Linked DNA regions of Drosophila melanogaster. The protein of the gene in region 1 interacts with the protein of each later gene in a pairwise test. Each region holds a gene or a part of one and is shown on either strand. Other genes may lie near its edges. The genes, in order: RFeSP, CG4835, Sirt4 and Cpr92A.

Evidence for each region.
Region 2: the proteins of RFeSP (region 1) and CG4835 interact in a two-hybrid assay, tested with the Drosophila melanogaster proteins (one large-scale study listed by BioGRID).
Region 3: the proteins of RFeSP (region 1) and Sirt4 interact in a two-hybrid assay, tested with the Drosophila melanogaster proteins (one large-scale study listed by BioGRID).
Region 4: the proteins of RFeSP (region 1) and Cpr92A interact in a two-hybrid assay, tested with the Drosophila melanogaster proteins (one large-scale study listed by BioGRID).

Annotation. Positions count from the first base shown.
Region 1 is NT_033779.5:1,611,661-1,616,245, reverse strand, and holds RFeSP (rieske iron-sulfur protein), read left to right. Parts: upstream 1-2,085; 5' UTR 2,086-2,169; coding exon 2,170-2,263; intron 2,264-2,822; coding exon 2,823-3,202; intron 3,203-3,257; coding exon 3,258-3,476; 3' UTR 3,477-3,817; downstream 3,818-4,585. Other genes in the region: CG14352 (uncharacterized protein), read right to left, coding at 3,846-4,240, 4,378-4,585.
Region 2 is NT_037436.4:5,477,926-5,484,389, forward strand, and holds CG4835 (uncharacterized protein), read left to right. Parts: upstream 1-1,864; 5' UTR 1,865-1,924; coding exon 1,925-1,931; intron 1,932-2,070; coding exon 2,071-5,738; downstream 5,739-6,464.
Region 3 is NC_004354.4:5,664,063-5,668,138, reverse strand, and holds Sirt4 (sirtuin 4), read left to right. Parts: upstream 1-2,198; 5' UTR 2,199-2,270; coding exon 2,271-2,451; intron 2,452-2,511; exon of another isoform or gene 2,512-2,652; coding exon 2,653-3,410; 3' UTR 3,411-3,511; downstream 3,512-4,076. Other genes in the region: CG4119 (uncharacterized protein), read right to left, coding at 1-929, 1,341-1,582, 1,671-1,733. UniProt on the Drosophila melanogaster protein: NAD-dependent protein deacylase. Catalyzes the NAD-dependent hydrolysis of acyl groups from lysine residues.
Region 4 is NT_033777.3:19,596,968-19,600,955, reverse strand, and holds Cpr92A (cuticular protein 92A), read left to right. Parts: upstream 1-2,000; 5' UTR 2,001-2,121; coding exon 2,122-2,130; intron 2,131-2,464; coding exon 2,465-3,193; 3' UTR 3,194-3,454; downstream 3,455-3,988. Other genes in the region: CG7333 (uncharacterized protein), read right to left, coding at 1-75, 140-282.

The DNA.
Region 1 (4,585 bases):
ATAGCAGTATAGCAGGATATCAGGATAGCAGTGGGCGTGGCGGCGCCTCCGCATCTGTCAGTCAGCCAGGGAACCTCAGAAACTTTTGCCTGCCACGCACAATTTTCCACTTTCAACTTTTCCAAGGGGTGGCGACCCACTCTGGGTGGGCTCAGCTTTATGCTTGGCTGATGTTGCGATAAGCAGGCCATGTCGTCGCCTACACGGCTAAAAGTATTTGAAAATAAACAATATATGACACACACCATTCATAATTCCCAAATAGGGTATAGCTTAAAAGTTAATAATAACTAAGCTAAACTTTAGGAAATGTAAATATCTCAATTATAAAGCTAAACAATACTTTTTCGAGTGTATTTCGGCTCTTGCTACTGCTGTGCTGATGTTGTTGCTGCCGCAGCCGCAACGCTGCACACGCCGCACAGAAATGGTTGAAAAGGGGGTGGAGTGTGCGGCAAGAAGCGTGGCAGGGAGTGGTAAGGGGGGTAAGGGGGGGCTGCCCTGGGGCAGGGTTGAAACTTTGTTGTTGCTACTGCTGCTGTTGTAGTTGGCGCCAGTTTCCCATGTAAAAGTTGCTGAAAAGTGTAACGCAGTCGAAGCTTGACAAGAGTTAAGTCTGAGTGGGGATGCGGTCGAGTTTTGAAGTTGGAGGCGTTGTGGTGGCTGGAAAATTCGGTGGGTGGATGCGCAAAATCCAGGGAAAGGGCAGATGCCATTGCCACGTCGCCTACGCGGCATAGTTTCAACTTTTCAGGCCTCTACACTGTCAGAAATTGATATGTCAAATATTGGAACATAACAAGTGGTTACTGTTTGTGTCCTAGATATTAAAATGCATAATAAATAAATAAATCTCATTTCCGCACAAAAAAACGTCTGTTATTTTGTGTAAATGTAGAGTATCCCCTTGTTCATATCCCAACTACATTATGAAGTTTGTTTTTGGCCAAATTTTACGCACTTTTCCGTAGGAACCCATTTTGTATGTGTGCGTGTTTTGGGCCAAGTACATAGAGGCGCCGTTATGTGCGCAGATTTTCCTCCTCCGGCTGGGAAATAGATGAACACATCGCAGCGGAGCGAGGAGTGGAGCACTTTCGGGCCCACTTTCACTTGCCACCTAGCCAGTGAAAGGAGGAGGGGAGTGGGTGGCAGCAAAGTTTCGACATCAAAAAGAACTACTTTCGATAATCACAGGACTGGCGCCAGAGGAATTACATTTCAGCCGGCTGCGGGAGAGTTTTCCCCGCTGCCACGGCCGCTTTTTTGGTTTTAAAGTTTGGCCAAATTTCGGGCGGCAAACTTTTATGCGCATAACAAATTCCCCTACATCGGCTGTTTTTTATGCAGTTTTTATTGCCATTTTATGCGTTGGATGAGATCAGCCGAGGCATATCTCCAATTCAGGAGCTACGCTTATTAATTAAGCTGAGAGAAACTACCCCGAAGAAAATAGGCAACATCCAGCAAAGTCCAATCAATGACATCATAATGATGCTGCCCGGGGGAAAATGGAAAAGTGCAGTGGAAAAACTGGATAGTGAAAGTCCGGTGGTTGGACCTCGTCTTTTGTTCTCCACTCGGTGGTGCGTTGACCAACCGGTTTGCCATGGAAACCCCTTTTCATCCGGGCTAAATCTATGCCACTGCAGTTTCCAATTGAAAAGAAAGGTAGTTTTCACTTGAATGAAAAGGTCGAAGGGTGGAAACTGAGCCTCCTTTTCACCTTTCGAAGGAAAACGAAAGGGGATGAAGGATTGAACGGCAAGGTGAAACAAATGCAATTTAATTCGACGCAGGATTATCATTTCAACATGAAATGCATATCAATTTAAATTAAAGTAAAAGCTTTTATGCACTGCGGGGTGGTTTAACGAGCTACAATATCATTTGTTCCAAAAATTATTTGAAATTCTATTCACCTATTTAAAAAACCGTTACTGGGCTGTAATAGCGGCCAGCTCCTGACAGTGAGCAATCGTAGTGGCAACTCTGAGAATGCAAATAGCTGGCAGCACTATACACTAATATATACTAGTATATTGTGGTATTTTTTGCAGGTTACCTGGTATTTCTCACCCACTTGAGTGCGGTCACACTGGTTCTCAGACGAAAACGACAAACGTCGAAATTTTCGTGATCATTTAATTTGATAGGGAAACATACAAAATGATGAACGCCGTGTCGCGTGCTTACGTCAGAGGCGGAGCCCAGGTCCTCTCCACGGGATTGAAGGCGAGCGGCGTGGCCGTCAACTCGATGGGTAAGGCTCTGCGAGGCGAATTCATCGAGCTGCCAGCTGAAAACACAGCCATTACATAATGAATGGATCGGGAAATAGGCGGAAAAAGTTGAATAAAAGCTTGGAAATGCCACCAGGACGTGATTTGCACTCGGCTTTAAGGCGATTTGTCAAATTTCCTTACGTAATTTCAACATAACCTCGTACAATAACAACAATCACTGGCTCACAAGCACACCTGCAATTTACATCGGATCTGTGGGATATACTCAATCGATTTCTGCCAAACGTGGGATTTACTACCTCTGGGACCAGGAATATCATCATGCGAAGTTTGGCACCTCTGTCTGCAAGGGACGCCAAGTTATGCCAAGTTGGCCCAAGATGCCCTGTGTCGGCTATAAGAAATATACCTTCAGCCTTGACAACCCCAAAACAATGTTGTTTACACTCTTCACTGCCCACCACACAAAAAATTTATGATTATATCAGCAACACTGCTCTGCAAACAAGCACAAGGATCTATAGAACCTCTGCACTTCGATCAATGGATAATTAATGATTCCCTCCTTCCTTTCAGCCAATCGCCAGGCACACACCGACCTGCAGGTGCCAGACTTCTCGGCATACCGCCGGGAGTCCGTGAAGGACAGTCGTCGTCGCAACGACACCGCCGAGGAGCGCAAGGCCTTCTCCTACTTGATGGTCGGCGCCGGAGCCGTGGGCGGTGCCTATGCGGCCAAGGGCCTGGTTAACACCTTCATCGGATCGATGAGCGCCTCCGCCGAAGTGCTGGCCATGGCCAAGATCGAGATCAAGCTGTCCGACATCCCGGAGGGCAAGTCGGTTACTTTCAAGTGGCGCGGAAAGCCCCTGTTCATCCGCCACCGCACGGCCGCGGAAATCGAGACCGAGCGAAATGTGCCCACATCCACGCTGCGCGATCCGGAGGCTGATGATGTAGGTACCGTGGAGTGGGTCGATTCGCTAATGCTGTTACCCATTTCCTCTTTAGCAACGTGTGATCAAGCCCGAGTGGCTGGTGGTCATCGGAGTGTGCACGCATCTGGGCTGTGTGCCCATCGCGAACGCCGGCGACTGGGGTGGCTACTACTGCCCCTGCCACGGCTCCCACTACGACGCCTCCGGAAGGATCCGCAAGGGACCCGCGCCCCTCAACTTGGAGGTGCCCACCCACGAGTTCCCCAACGAGGGTCTTCTCGTGGTCGGCTAGAGGAGCTGTTATCGTTTAAGCCCCCAACTGCATAGTGAATGGATCGATGTAAATTAATAAATACAACCAAACAGAACGACCGAGCATAAACGAGCAATTCATTCGAACTGAGGAGGAATAAATGTGAAGGGCTTAAATCCAGCAGCCTAAATCCAGCTTACTTGTTAAAATGTAGACGAATCTTTAGAAGTTTGACAGACATTATTAAATCTTTTGAAGATGTAATTGTTTGCTTCTGGTTTCAAAAATCAAGGAGTGTACATGAGTTTCTTTCGATAATCTTTTGTTTAACTAGGACTATAGTAATTACTGAAGAGCACTGACATTATGAAGACAAGAATAAATTAACTTATCCTAGCTAGCAATTCCTTAGGATGAAGCCTTGCTTTGCGCGACTTTGCGTCGTTTTTCGAGTATTTCCGCTTCGAGAAGTTCGTTTTTCAGGCGCATATTGCGCAGCTCCACCTTTCGCTGCTCCAGCTCGTATTTCTGCTTCTCCATCTCAAGCTTGTGCTTCTCGGCTGCCCGGGCGTTTTCGCATCGATAGTACTCCTGTTGCAGCCTGATCAGAACGACTTTTTCATCCTTCAGGGTATTCGTGGCATCCTCTTCTGAGCTCACATCGACTGACTCTTCATTTACATTCAGAGCTGAGTAGTTTGGTCTGTCAACTGAGTAGCTTGAGTTATTCGGCACGAGCTTGACTTCGGTAGAGGCGCTTCTGAGGCTTTTTCGGTTCAATTCCGATTCGAAATAGGTACTACCTGCAAGATGTTTTTAGAGTTTATTAGAGATAAAGCACTGAAATATTGCTGTAGAAGAACCTATCATGGTAAGACTATTAAGGTACATCTTGTCAACTACCACGTTCATGCTTTTGATCCTGCCATCCTTTACTCACTTTCTTCATTATCAGCAGCTGCAGCCAGCGAAGAAACTCCCGAAATGGACAAATTCTGCACCGAATCTGATGCATTGTCAGTCTTTGCCTCCTCGTCACTCAGTGTTCCGTTCTTTCGCATCATCCGCAGGTTGTTGGTGTACTTCTCTCGCAGAGCCTGCCAAGAACGCTCTATTCCGGTCTGAATGGCGAAGTCCGCCTCAATTTG
Region 2 (6,464 bases), on another chromosome or scaffold:
TTAACAAATTTATAATGGTTTCTTTTTCTCTAGTAATTAAACATTTTTTATATGGCTTAAAAAACGTTTTGGACGTTTTTTAGGAGTTTCACAGGGGCTTACGTGAAATCTCTGGAAGCTGGAAAAACACACGAATGCCGCCAGACTCGGTGATGAATCTAGGCCCCAGGATGCATTGCGCCATATACAAACCCCCCATCAGATCGCCGAGAATCCTTTCCAGTCGCTGGCGACACACGCACCGGGTCAATTTCATGCAACACAAACAAGGGGAGGAGTTGTGGAACGGGGCAAGGAGCAGCTTTGCTGCGTGGAGGACACGTTTTCCCTCGCTTTCACCCGCTTCTCCGCCGCCATTCCTTTGAGGAGCAGCCAGGCGGACAGAAAGGCGAGCAGGTGCTCAGCTGTAACTAAACGTCCGTTTTAACATTGCCATCTGATGGTCCTGCTTCTTGTTTCCCAGATTTTGGATGGGGTGTGGCATGTGGCACATGTCAGTTGCTGGTCACGTCGCATGCAGGGGCATAATTGATAGTTCAATCTGTTGCAGATCAAACGCTTGACAGCAGCCAACAGATCAAGCTGAAAAATTGTCCAGCAGCAAGTTTGGCCAAAGAGGTGGGAACATTTGATTATATTTGATTTGTTGAGCTAATTCCAAAGAAAAATATGCTAAGTATAGAATAAATTTCATATATCTTTTTATAAAAGAGTAATCATGAGTACCTATAAGTATTGTTTCATTCATACTCCTGACTTTAATTTACCCAAAACCATTTATTATTTTAATCTCAAAAAATCTGTACTTAAATAATCCGCACTTTCTTTTATGCAACTTTATTTTTATATTAATGGATTTGTCCTTTCAGGCTGCACTTTATATTTTCCAACTTCGTGACTGTTTGTCAACCCAAAGGCGACTGAAGAAGGGATGGAAAAAAGGTCAGCCAGACAGCATAAAAACATCCTTCAGACAAATAGATTTGTATGCTTTTAAGTAATTTGCAGCACAAATTGAAATACCATGGCTAGCTTTCTATGCAACTGCAGCTTGCAAATCCACTTTAAACTAGAGATACAAATTTCTTCAATCTGTTTATACATTTTCAACTAATTCTACTTAATGCCGTATTTTGTGTGCCACTCATGTTTTGTCGCTTAATTTTAATGGCTTGCCGGGCATTAAACTTCTAGCTTCATTTATGTTTATGTTCGCATTTTTATTCGTGTAATTTACGCGTCGAGTGCTGATCATAAATTGTGACTCGAACTTCGCTGTCGGAAAGGTCACGTGGGCTCATTAAAGACCCAACAACACCGTGAACTGGAACAAGAACAATAAGTGTAATAACAGCAGCAATAAGAGTCACAAAAGGCGCACACAAAACACATGCGAACAGGATAAAATGATTTACCTTCGAAATGAAAGAATATAAAATGACACTCATTTCACAAGCAATACGTGTGTAAAAAAACACCAGTAGGGGAAATACTTAAAGAAAACCCCAGAGAAGCTTCCTGCCTTATATTTTGCTTAAAATTAACCTTTATAAACAAAACAATCTATGACGCCACGATAAGACTTCAATACGTAATTGGCTTATCACTAGATTAGAATATTACGGAAACTATCTTGTGTTGCTCGTGTTGAAATGGCACTTAAGAAAAATAATTCAGAAGTTAACGATAACATAAAATCACAAATCACAATCACTAGAATGAAAACGATATTCTATAAATTTCAAAGAATTTCTAATTAAATCTAATCAAAATGTCATTAATATAAGCTACCGACGTTGTATCAGGAAATAGCTTTTGCTATAGACAAGACAGTTGGCCTAGTTAACAAGTCAGTGTGGAGTTAAACTCGCAGGCGAAAAGACCTATTAAAAATATATAGTACAATTTAGAAAGGGGAGTTGTTATGCAAGGTAAATCTAAGATATTCTATGCAAGTACAATGCAATAAATTATTATGTCAATTATACATAAATATTTAAACTTAAATACTAGTAATAGTCTCTGTATGTTTTTTTTTTTGTATTATTATTGTATTCTTTCCTTTTCCAGATAATATTTTCAAGCCTTTGCCATGGCTTCTGGTGGTTATCGCCGTATTCTGGAGCTGGCAGCTAAATGTTTTGGCCCTGCCAAAGATCGAACCTCGTCACGAAACTTGCAACAATGAACAGCGATACGAAAACCAGGTGATGTGCGAGGGCAAGGACTTTGGTGCTTTGGTACCGTATCCGGATAACTGTAGTTTGTTCCTAGTTTGCGACTGTCTCTATCCCACGGTGAAGTTGTGTCCCGCAAATCTCTGGTGGGATAATAAGACCCAGCAATGTAATTATCCCCAAGCTGTAGAATGTATCTACTACTCGATTGAAACGCCAGAACCTACGGATGGAACTACTCGATTTACGCCAGAACCAACATCCAGTACTCAAAAGATAACGCCAGAACCCACAGAACCACCATCAAGTACGGCAAAGATAACGACAGAAAGTACCACCGGAACCAGTACAGAGATAACGTCCTCTACCCCCTCAAGTTACCTCCCAACATCCAGTTGGGATCCACCACCGGCACCACCGGGAATTTCAGATGACTACTGTCGCAACAAGGAGGATGGCTCGGTACATTATTATCCATATGACTGCCAGGCCTATATAAACTGCACTTACGGCTGGCCCGTGCTAAATTACTGTATTGAAGACAAGGTATTCAATAAGTACCTTGGCATTTGCGATACTCCCGATATGGCAGATTGCGAGGAGCTGCCCCTTCCTACAACCACAACAGAAATGCCGCCCACTTCAACAACTGAGGAGGATGTGGTTTGCGGTCCAACGCCGGAGGGAATTGAAGAGGATTATTGTGTGCCGAAGGGAAATGGTTTCTATGAGTATCCTTACAATTGCAGTGGGTACTTGGCCTGCAAAAATGGTTGCACAGATTTGGATTACTGCCAGCCGGATAAACTCTTTAATAATTGGCTGCACATCTGCGATACACCCGATTCGGTGCGGTGTGACCCCCTGCCATTCCCCACAACTCCGGGAACAACCAACAAACCAACGACGCCTTCAGTCACGACGACGCCTTCAATCACTACAACTCCTTCAACGCCTACAACACTGCCTTCTGATGGGTCTACAACGGAAATACATTCTAGCACCACAGAAGAGATTGTAACCACTACAGATGGACTTCCCTCTGATGTCGATCCAAATGATTGTAAAGATGAAAAGGACGGCACTATTTTTGCCTACATAGGCAATTGTTCGGAGTACTTAATATGTAAAGACAATCAAGTGCAAATGGGTCATTGTCCTCCTAATACGCTCTTCAATCCCGACTTGCTTGTATGCGATGAGCCAGATGATGTTGTGTGCCTTGGAGATCGCACCACGACACCAATTCCAACCACCATACCAACTACTACTACTGAAAAAACCACTCCTACCACGACTACCACCACAGTGGCAACAACTTTGGGACCAGATCAGCTTTGCGATGGTCAGGAGTTGGGAGCTTCGTTTTCTTATCCGGATGATTGCAGCAAGTATTATCTTTGCTTGGGCGGCGGACAATGGACTCTGGCACCCTGCATTTACGGCAGTTATTTTGATCCCAGCACAGGTCAGTGTGGACCTGATGTGGCACCCGATGCGTGCAAACCATCACAAGTCACAACCACCACAACAACAACAACGACAGAGACCACAACAACCGAAAGAAATACCACACCCAAGTCCACAGCTACAACCACCGAAAGGACAACCACAACTGTGGCCCCAAAAACTGGTATTTGCGGTGGTCGAAATGAGAACGAGAATATTGCTTATCCCAACAACTGCACCAAGTACATTGTGTGCGTTTCACCAATTCCCATAGCGTTCTTCTGTCCCGATGGTACATTCTTCAGTTCCAAGTTAGAGAAGTGCATTGATGATTGGGATGAAAGTGATTGTGAGGGTGATCAAAGCACAACGACTCTAGAACCAGGCTATACAAGACCTCCTCCGGAACCGACCATGTGTACAAATAGCAGTCGGGATACATTCCCATATCCGGACAATTGTCAATGGTTCATACGCTGTGTGGATGATTACATTTACATGATGGACGTCTGTAATTGTGGGGAGTACTACGATCCAATTACTGAAAAGTGTGGAGCGGATGTTCCTTCAGATGCCTGTCGATGGGACTACACTTCAACCACATCAACTACCAGTGAGCCGACAACGACCACAGCGGTTACGAGACCACCACCGCAGAAAGGACCTTGTGACGACGTCGAGGATGGGGCCCTTGTCGCTTATCCCAACGATTGTTCGAAGTATATTCAGTGCGATAGACCCATTGCGGTTGCCTTTGAATGCGAAAAAGGAGATGAATTTAGTGTGGAGCTTGGAAAATGTGTTGATGCTTCACTCGCCAATTGTTCGATTACAACCACTGCTAAGCCATCGGAGTCGACGACTACACCAAGAGACGGGGAAGGCTCAACAACGCCTTCCGAACCATCAACGGGATCTTCTACAGAATCGTCTACAGAATCAACAACAGAACCATCTACAGAATCAACAACAGAATCAACAACAGAATCAACAACGGAATCAACAACAGAATCATCTACAGGACAATCAACAGAAACTACAGAATCATCTACAGTATTATCTACTGATACTTCTGAATCACCTTCAACAATTTCAACACCACCATCATCTACTACAATGGAACCAGGAACAACTAACCCGGAAGCTTCTACAACTGAAAAGCCGGCAGATGGAATTTGTGAAGGCAAGACAGACGACTCCTTGGTACCCTACCCGAGAAACTGTAGCAAGTATATAAAGTGCCAATATCCAATACCAGTTGGTTACGATTGTCCGGATGGTTTGGAGTTTAGTCCCACGGAATTGACCTGCATGGATCCCGAACTAGCTGGTTGTAGCACTAAGTTAACCACACCAGGGCTTACAACTTTAAGTACAGAAGCTTCGTCTACACCGGTAACAACAGTTTCAACAACACCCGAGGCTACCACTACAGAAATGTCAACTACTCCAAAGACTACTACTACCGAGTCAACCACAATCTCAACAACAACCACAGATTCAACCACTCCCCAAACAACTACAACAGAATCGACAACTTCCAAAACAACTACCACAGAATCAACGATAATTTCAACAACTCCAACGACAACCGAGCCAACAACTCCAAAGACCACTACTACCGAGTCAACCACAATCCCAACAACAACCACAGAATCAACTACAGCTACAACCACTCCCCAAACAACTACCACGGAATCAACGACAATTTCAACAACTCCAAAGACTACTACTACAGAGTCAACGACAGTTTCAACAACCCCAACGACAACCGAGTCAACGACAATTTCAACAACCCCAACGACAACCGAGCCAACAACCGTTTCAACAACTCCAAAGACAACAACCACCGAATCGACAACAGTAACAACAACAACTGAATCGACAACCACAGTTTCTACACCAACAACTCTAGATCCGTACACCCCCAATATATGCTGTGGCCAAGCTCTTGGAACTCTGCTTCCGTATCCCAATGATTGCGGTCGCTATGTCGTCTGTGACTATCCCATTCCATATGCCGTGGATTGCGATGAGGGAACGATTTTCGATGATAATCTTCTTCAATGCACCTCTGTTCCCAATGAAAGGTGTCTTTTTATTGAATTTTAAAAAAATATATTAATAAAGCATAAATCACAGCAATAATCTTTTCCATTTCTGTTCTTTTTGCTACCCCAAAAAATCAATTGGGTAAATGCACAAATGCTCAATAGCTGGGAATCGCTTAACATATTCCTCACACATTACACTTCTAGGGCTTTCTAAGTCCTTTTTTAAGTGTTTCACTTTTTAGACATATACTTTGCTCCAGTTTTAGTATCAATTACATGCAAACCCTTTTCCCGTAATATGTCGCAAAAAAACGGAACCAAGAAAAAAAAAGTAATTTACCACTTAACACAGTCAATTCCCCGGACAGGTAACAAGCCGATTGGAATTGCAGAACCTCCTGTCGAAAGGATTGCAAACGAAGACCCTCAAGGGGACGCAAACGCGCGACAGTATTTTTAGCAACAGGCTAAAAGCAGTTTCCCCTTGACAATGCCACGTCTGATATCCTGCTCAGTTACAAGTTTCAGCCATTTATCGTAGCCTGATACTGCCGTTCTTGGCCCAAAGCTGAAACCCTCGGAAGCTCGTCTAATCAGATTTGGGGTTGGCCACATAAAAACACAATTGCCAAGGAATTATCCTTAGGGTGTGAGGTGGCAGGCAGGACATATACAATTGAGGGTAAATATAACAAGCACAAGGATAAGTTGTTCAGTTTTGTTGTTGCTACTGCGGTTGTTGTTGTGGAAATCGAAGAAAGGGAAAGGAAACCAAAGCAAGTTA
Region 3 (4,076 bases), on another chromosome or scaffold:
TTTCGCGTTCCCGTTCGCGCATCTCGTTGCGCTCCCGTTCGCGCATTTCGTTGCGTTCCCGCTCGCGCTCACGCTCCCGATCCCTTTCACGTTCGCGCTCCTTGTCGCGAAGCTCGCGCAGCTCACGCTCACGTTCCCGTTCGCGATCCTTGGAGCGGGATTTGGAGCGGCGGCGACGTGTCTCCTTTGAGTCAGAGCGGCGCTCCTTCTGTGTTATCTCGATGGCAGCCGACGACGACTCCTTGCGTCCGGTGGAGGAGGCAGATTCCTTTGACTCCTTAACTGTTTCCTTGATCACAACAGCGACTGATTCCTTGTCTGTCTTATCCGACATGTCAGCCCCATCGGCGGCGGGTGTCGAAGAGGTGGCTGTAGCGCTGGAGGAACTGGCGGCCGCTGTCGATGAGCTGCCAGACTTGCTGGTCGACGACATTCGCTCCATTTCGCGCTGCTTTTTGCGCTCCTTCTCCTTGCTGGCCGCAAGCTTCTCCTTTTCCTTCTCCTTCTCCAGCTCTTTGCGGTGCTCGTCTTCCTCCGCACGCATACGGAATTTGCCTATCTCGCTGCTAATCAAGTTGCGCTTTTCTTCCTCCAGGGTATTTTCGCTTAGCACCTTCATCTTTATGTCTTCCTCGCGGCGTGTCTTCTTATTGCGATTGGCGCTGCCGTACAAATCGGCGCGACTGCTGCTATCGAATCCTTCGAACTCGTGCTTGTGCTCTTCCAGGAATTCGTGCATCTGGGCAATGGCGAACTCGTCCTCGGTCTTTTCGTCCACTGGGTTGGAACGATCGCCGTTCTTGCACTCCTGCTCCTTGTAATCCTCGATGAGAACCTTGTTCTTGGCATCTACCTTGGCTACCAGCTTCTTGCCATCGATTTCCATCTCGCTGAGCAGGCGAACGGCTCGCATTGCCGCAATAGGTCCGCTGAAAGAATGCCAAGGAAAGCGGTTAGGCAGAGTATTTATAGGAACAATTGGAGAGCCAAATGGGTGGACTGCCCGTTGGCTCTAAACATAAATGTATGCAAGCTCAACCCTGTGTTGTATTGCTTAAAGTTAGGTTACTTAAAAGTGCTCGAGTAGTTATTCGATCGCGCATATAGAATTTGAAGAGCTGTCGCAGTAGGGAGCATTCCTAGAAGTATTTCAATCTTTTTATAAATAAGCTAAGCTATTCTAGGAAACGCATCAAACAACGAGTGAGATGCGTTATGCTGCTGTTTATGCAATGGCTCTTCAATTACTTTTCTAGCGTTATTTAACTAACGAAACCTTCTTGTGCTGCCCTAAGCCTTCTAAAGTGATTTTGGGATGACCGATTTATGGTTGAACGTACTCAAATTCGCAGAAGCCGAATGTGGACACCCGTTTCCAATTGATTACCACGCCGCAAGCGTTCAGGATGCGTTTGAGCAGTGCCTCCGGGACGCGTTCGCTGATGTTGCCCACGAAGACGGTAATGATGGGTCCGCGGAACTGTGGTTGCGGCTCCGGCGGACGTTGGTATACTGTCGGCTGTGAACTAATGGTGGCCGAGTTACGGAAGCTCCTCGGCGGCTTGGCCATGTTCTGCATTATCTGAAAGCGGATGGAGTAGGTGGAAAAGGATTTGGCGTCAGATTCTGACAGCTTCATGGTGATTGTGACCCAGAAAAGGTGGACTTACGTGCGGCGGCGGTATGGCTGTATTCATGAAGGGCGGCATGGGCGCCCGCGGCGGGTACGACATCTTGTGCGCTGCGACTCCTTTGCGATGTCCTTTGAAAACACAACTTTAGCGAGCTTGCAAAATTAAAGCCGACAATTCACAAACACACTCACGCACGCACAGACGAGCGACACACACACACACAGGCACGCACGGATGGGCGCAAACGCCACACGGAGTGATAAATATGTGTGTGAATGTCCTGTTTCGTGCTTACGAAGCTGGACGCCCGCAAGGTTCACTGATCGAATCTCGGAAAGGTTGGCCTGTAACTTCTGGGTTCACGGCGCGTGATAAATCCACGCGTAAATTACCGAATAGAATATCTTTTTTCTGCAGCCGTTGCTCTAGAGATGGTAGCTGCTGGCAAGCTGCTATCGGCTGATGGCGTGTAAAAATCGATGGGGGTCGTACAGTTATCGATTGCCATTGCGGGGCATACAATCGATTTACAGCGGTAAGCGACTGAAGGAGTTGCCATCGATGTGCGTGCGCTCACCTCTAGTAACGTAACCGAAAAAGAACCAAATATTACTTGCAATAATACATAACAAAACAATGCGTGTGGGCCAGCTGCTCCGCTTCCGGAGCACCAGCTTGCGCAGCTCCACCGCCAGGCAGGAGTACGTGCCGCATCACAAGCCCGTCGTGGAGGACGACATCAAACGGCTGGAGGACTTTCTCCTGTCCAAACCGAATGTTTTGGTTCTCACGGGCGCTGGCATCTCGACGGAATCGGGTGAGTTTCATGATTTTCCGACTTTTCTATGTTCAGAAGCCATTAACACAAATATTTCAGATTGACTTCCAAAAGCTTGTACATTATTCATTTATTTATATAATGCTAATGCAAGTGACTTCTAGCTTATACTTGGATTCGCATTAGTATTTTATTTAAATCAACATTTCTGGCTGTCTAAAAACTTGAAATAAATTCCAGGGATTCCCGATTACCGTTCCGAAGGCGTGGGCCTCTACGCCCGCTCCAACCACAAGCCCGTCCAGCACATGGAGTTCGTCAAGTCGTCGGCGGTGCGCAAGCGGTACTGGGCCAGGAACTTTGTGGGCTGGCCCAAGTTTTCTGCCACACAGCCCAATGCCACGCATCACGCGCTGGCCAGATTCGAGCGGGAGGAGCGGGTCCAGGCGGTGGTCACCCAGAACGTGGACCGGCTGCACACGAAGGCGGGCAGCCGAAATGTTGTGGAGGTTCATGGCAGTGGCTATGTGGTCAAGTGCCTGTCATGCGAGTACCGGATCGATCGTCACGAGTTCCAGAGCATACTGGCGTCGCTAAATCCGGCCTTCAAAGATGCCCCCGACATGATCCGGCCCGATGGCGATGTAGAGATACCGCTGGAGTACATCGAGAACTTCCGGATACCCGAGTGTACGCAGTGCGGCGGCGACTTGAAGCCGGAAATTGTCTTCTTCGGAGATTCTGTGCCTCGGCCACGAGTGGATCAGATTGCCGGCATGGTGTACAATAGCGATGGCCTGCTTGTCCTCGGGTCCAGTCTCCTGGTCTTCTCCGGCTACCGCGTTGTCCTGCAGACCAAGGACCTCAAGCTACCGGTGGGCATTGTTAATATTGGCGAAACGCGCGCCGATCACCTGGCGGATATCAAGATATCCGCCAAGTGCGGCGATGTCATACCCAAACTGTTCGACTTTCGCAATTCGAAAAGCGTCAGTTAATACTCACAGTTGTTATATGTTGACCCCCACTAAATTTGTAGTTATGGAAAGCCAGGCTTTCTATTTTAGCTAAAAAATAAATGTTAATGATTACTATTTGCAAATGGAATGTAGCGTTGCAACGGAGCTCCTGATTTATGGCTGTGCCTTTGGATCATTTTCGCGCAGGCTCCTCTGGAGCGAAACACAATGACACGCTTTCCGGGAAAAGGATTCGCTCATCCCCCAAGCACATGGGTTCCGAGTCCATGTCCTCTCTGTCTCTCTCAGTGTCCTGTGCTCTGAAATTCCAGCACATCCCAACAGGAAGCGGAAGCAGGAGCGCCGGGGAGAGCTGCGCACTTCCGCTCGCTCCCGTTGAATGTTTTTGTTTTTGCTCCAGGCCGCTGCTCTCAGTGCTCCATATAAATGAACCGCAATTGAGGCATCGGCATCTCCCGCTCGCACACACAAACACACATCGCACACACACATACACGGCCAGTGACACTTTTCACACGCGGTTCATTACCCCCCCTCCTACGACAATCGTCCATTCCTGCTAGAAAAACAATGCGTAGACCTCGCACAATGGGCAAAATCGAAGGACTGCTAAGAATAATAATAATAATAATATAATTATATTAAGTAGTGGTCATGGTTAGCATATTTAAGCAGCATTATATC
Region 4 (3,988 bases), on another chromosome or scaffold:
GATGAGGCGGATATGTTTTCATATACCGAGCGAATCCCTTCAACACTGAGACCATTAAGGTCAGCATGGAAGCACCTGCATAAGAAAGATTGGATATTACATGGTCGGGACCAATCACCCATTTTGTGTCCACACTCACCAATGCTCTGGTGTGAAGGTGATAAGGGTCTGCGAAAAGTAGTGCAGTGATCCAAGAATATTTGTGTAGCCGTACAGCAAAAGGATCATCACCTGGAACCTGCCATAGTTTCCACACTTATCCAGAACCTGACTGAAATCCATCAGACGTTGCTTCGATGACATAAAAAATTTCCAAAGCGACTGACTACTTCCAACTCCCTTTGAGAACTGACCAGAAGCTAAATTAAACTGCGCTGGGAATAGCCATAAATTTATCTTTAGCGGCTTTAGGCAATATGTTTCATAAAGCTAAAACAGCTGGATGGGTTTTAAAATTACAGATATACCGTCAAATGTTTTGCCAGCTGTGAGCCCTGTAATTGGGAAAATATCTACAGGAGATGTCACATCTATCGCGTAAGTTTTTGTCGAAACAAAATTTTTGCAATTAAAATACCTACATACATACCAATATTGTGCTTAACTAATCCATTATTGACTAGATTTTCCATTCAGCCATATTGGCAACTTTGTAGCATTAGCCTGCCATTCTTGTTGATCAATTGCTTTGATCTTCTGGCTAAAAATAGTTAAAACAGCTGACATCGACTGGCCCGGCGGTTGGCACGACTTTGATTCTTTGTTATAGTTAGTTGTCGCATAAACAGGCCCGATGGTAACAGCAAGGGTAAGACAATGCATGCAGATGTCAATAGTTTTCCAGATGCCAGATACAAATTTGCAGCCATAAATTAAGCTCACAAAACGGTAAACATGAGAATTGTCGCAGACACTTGGTCGTTAGAGGCTGGAAAGGGTATTTTTGGCTAATCAGGCACTCTTAGGAACTAGCTGCAAACTTTTTTGGTCCTTCCAGAAATTATCTCAAGTTTATCATTGATTATAAACTATGTAACTGATCAGTATTCCTATTACAATGTGTCCTATCATAGTCAGCTTTTAGCATCTCCGCTACGTAGCAACCATTTAAGGGGAAGATCAAACAGAAAACCAGTCTTCAGCTGAAGGATCAGTCATGAGTAACCTTATATAGTCGTCATGCCACTTTTTGAAGGGTATTATTAATGACATTATTTGCCTAGACTGCAAGTGGTTGTTTGGCCTGGTCTGTGGGCCAGACTAATGTGCCGACAGCAGCGCGTTGACCTTTTGCTTTATTAGGCTGTTGTGGCGAGCCAGTCGCCCCTGTTTCCGCCCCCCTTCTTCGGTGAGCCTCTGGCTTTTGGGCCCACTCCAGGCACTCTTAATTCAATTGTGGACCACCTGACCTTTTGCGCATGCGCTGCAACTGCCATTTCATATGGAACCTCAACATCGCCCGGTGCAGCTTGTTCTTCTTAGCTAATTACGCGGCAGCCAAATGCAGCATATCCTAACATCCAGCCAATGTTAATGTAACATTTCAATTGTGTGCGGCAAAATAAATTTTCACATAATTGCCAAAAGTCGGTGTCCAAGCGGGTATTGAAAAGCGAATCGAAAACGAATCGTAAACGTCGCAAAAGTGAAAGGGCAAAGCTCGGGTTGGATTGGCTCCGGGGTCTGGGGACCCTTTAAATGGTTTAGCGGAAGAATAACCTTTCTAAGTCGACACGATAACTGCGCCAAAGTTGAAGCCAGGCACACGATTTGCCGCCAGGTGGGCAAGAGTCAATCCCCGCCCCCGTGGCTCCGCAGTACTGGTCCGCGCCATGTGCTTGATCGCTGGCCCAAGACACCGAAGACTCCGTCTGGCCGGGTCTCTCTTGATCTGAAATTAGTTTATTGCCTCGACTGCGCCATGTGAAGCAGGCGACATTTGCCGCCGTTTGCCAGTATAAATGGCCAGAACTTCCAGCGAACGCTTGCAGTTTTGGTTACTTCTTCTAGCGCGATCGTCGTCGAAACCAACAATACTCCGGCCACTCTCTACGTGTGGTGTCTGCTGAGTCTGTGACAACTGTGAGCGAGTGGAAAGGATACCCCTGCAAGGACATCGTTATGCTGAAGGTGTGAAAACAAAGGATACCAAAGTGCTCTTATAGTCTGGACAATCAAGTTTAAGCCGATTTAACATATTCTCAAGGGGAATGCCAAGATGAATTAACCAAGTGTTCCTATTACTAAAAGCTTATATTTTATTCATACAAAGAAAATTAGTGCATAAAGAAGATAGTTTAAGTCCTAATGAAACCCGTCGAATGATCCGAGTTAATATGTGATTTGATTTAAATTAAATTTAATTGCCAAGAATTATTCTAAACAATTCTTCCCTGTCCTCATATTACTTAAAGCTTATTTCAATTTAATCGCTTTCAACATTTTCTTTTAATTTTTTTTTCAGATTTCCCTGCTGAGCGCCATGCTCGGCATCGCCTATGCGGGCGTGATTGGACCCGGACCATACTATGGCGGTCCAGCTGGTCCCGGACCTCTGCACCACTATGGAGGATATGCACCGCAGCATGGGCCCCTGCCAGGTCCCTATGTGGCGCCCAAGCCGGCTGCTCCCGAACCCTACGATCCCGACCCGAAGTACTCCTTTGGCTACGACATCCAGGATGGTTATACTGGTGACCTGAAGTCACAGCACGAGACGCGCCACGGAGATGTGGTGAAGGGCAGCTACTCGGTTGTGGATCCGGATGGAACCAAACGCACCGTTGACTACACAGCGGATCCCCATCACGGATTCAATGCGGTGGTCCGCAAGGAGCCGCTGGCCTACAAGGCACCAGCCCACCTGGCACCCGTCGTCGCACCTGCACCCGCTCCAGTACCAGCTCATTACGGCCCAGCTCCGGCGCCTCCACTTCCGCCGGTGCCCAAGGCTCCTCTGCTTTCGTATCCTCTTGCCTTAGGACCTTACCACCGTGGTGCTCCCGCTCCTGCACCAGGTCCCGCTCCCGCTCCTGCTCCAGCTCCGGTGTCTGTGCCAGTGGCTACTCCAGTCCTGCCCTCCGCCCACTTCCATGCCGCCTATCCCGCCCTGGCGCACAGCCCCTATGCCCACTATCCGGCTCCAGGTCCGGCCCCCGCTCCAGTGGAACCCCATGCCTACTACCATCACTGAGGGACCAAGGTTCTCAACTATCTGATCTGATTTGATTCGACTTCATCTATCGCACGCAGCTTACACTGACCCAAAACTGAAACTCCGGCTATATCTGTGCCAAACGCTGTACTCTCAATCTCTTACTCTGTGTTCTTCGAGGGATTTGATACCGATCCAACATGTAGATTGATTCTAAGTTACCCCTAGCCTATGTACACGTCTTTAAGAAAATGTTGTTGAATGGTTAGTCTAGGAAATAAAACGAGAATTGAAAAACCTAACAAATTTGTTTGCGGTCTTCCCTAGAAACTATTAGATTGAAGTTCCGAAGCCAAGAAGAAAATAGTCCCACAAAAAGTTTTTAAATAATTTAAAAAACAACGTTTTAACGCAATTGATGAGTGTTTTATTTATTGTATCAACTTTTCGCAATGGTTCATATATGTATATGTTATATGATATCGTATGTGGCATATCTCATATGTATAATTTCTGATTATGTATAAATATGTATATGTGTGTTGTATATAAACGTTTCGAGTATGTCACCGTATGTTATAAATAAGTTTATTACAATGCATAATGTGTTATTATTTATGTATTATGTTTTATGTTTAATAGGTTCTATGAGCTACCATTCGTAGAACATACTGAAATGTTTTCGATATCGATATAAATTTATGTACTCCTCAGCCGACTTCAAAAGTTCATCAGTGTGCAGAGTGCGTTTTGGTCTCGCTGCACTCGATTAGGTATACAATTTAAATACGATTATAGTCCTTAGTTTTGTAATAAACGGTATCAAAAGATAGG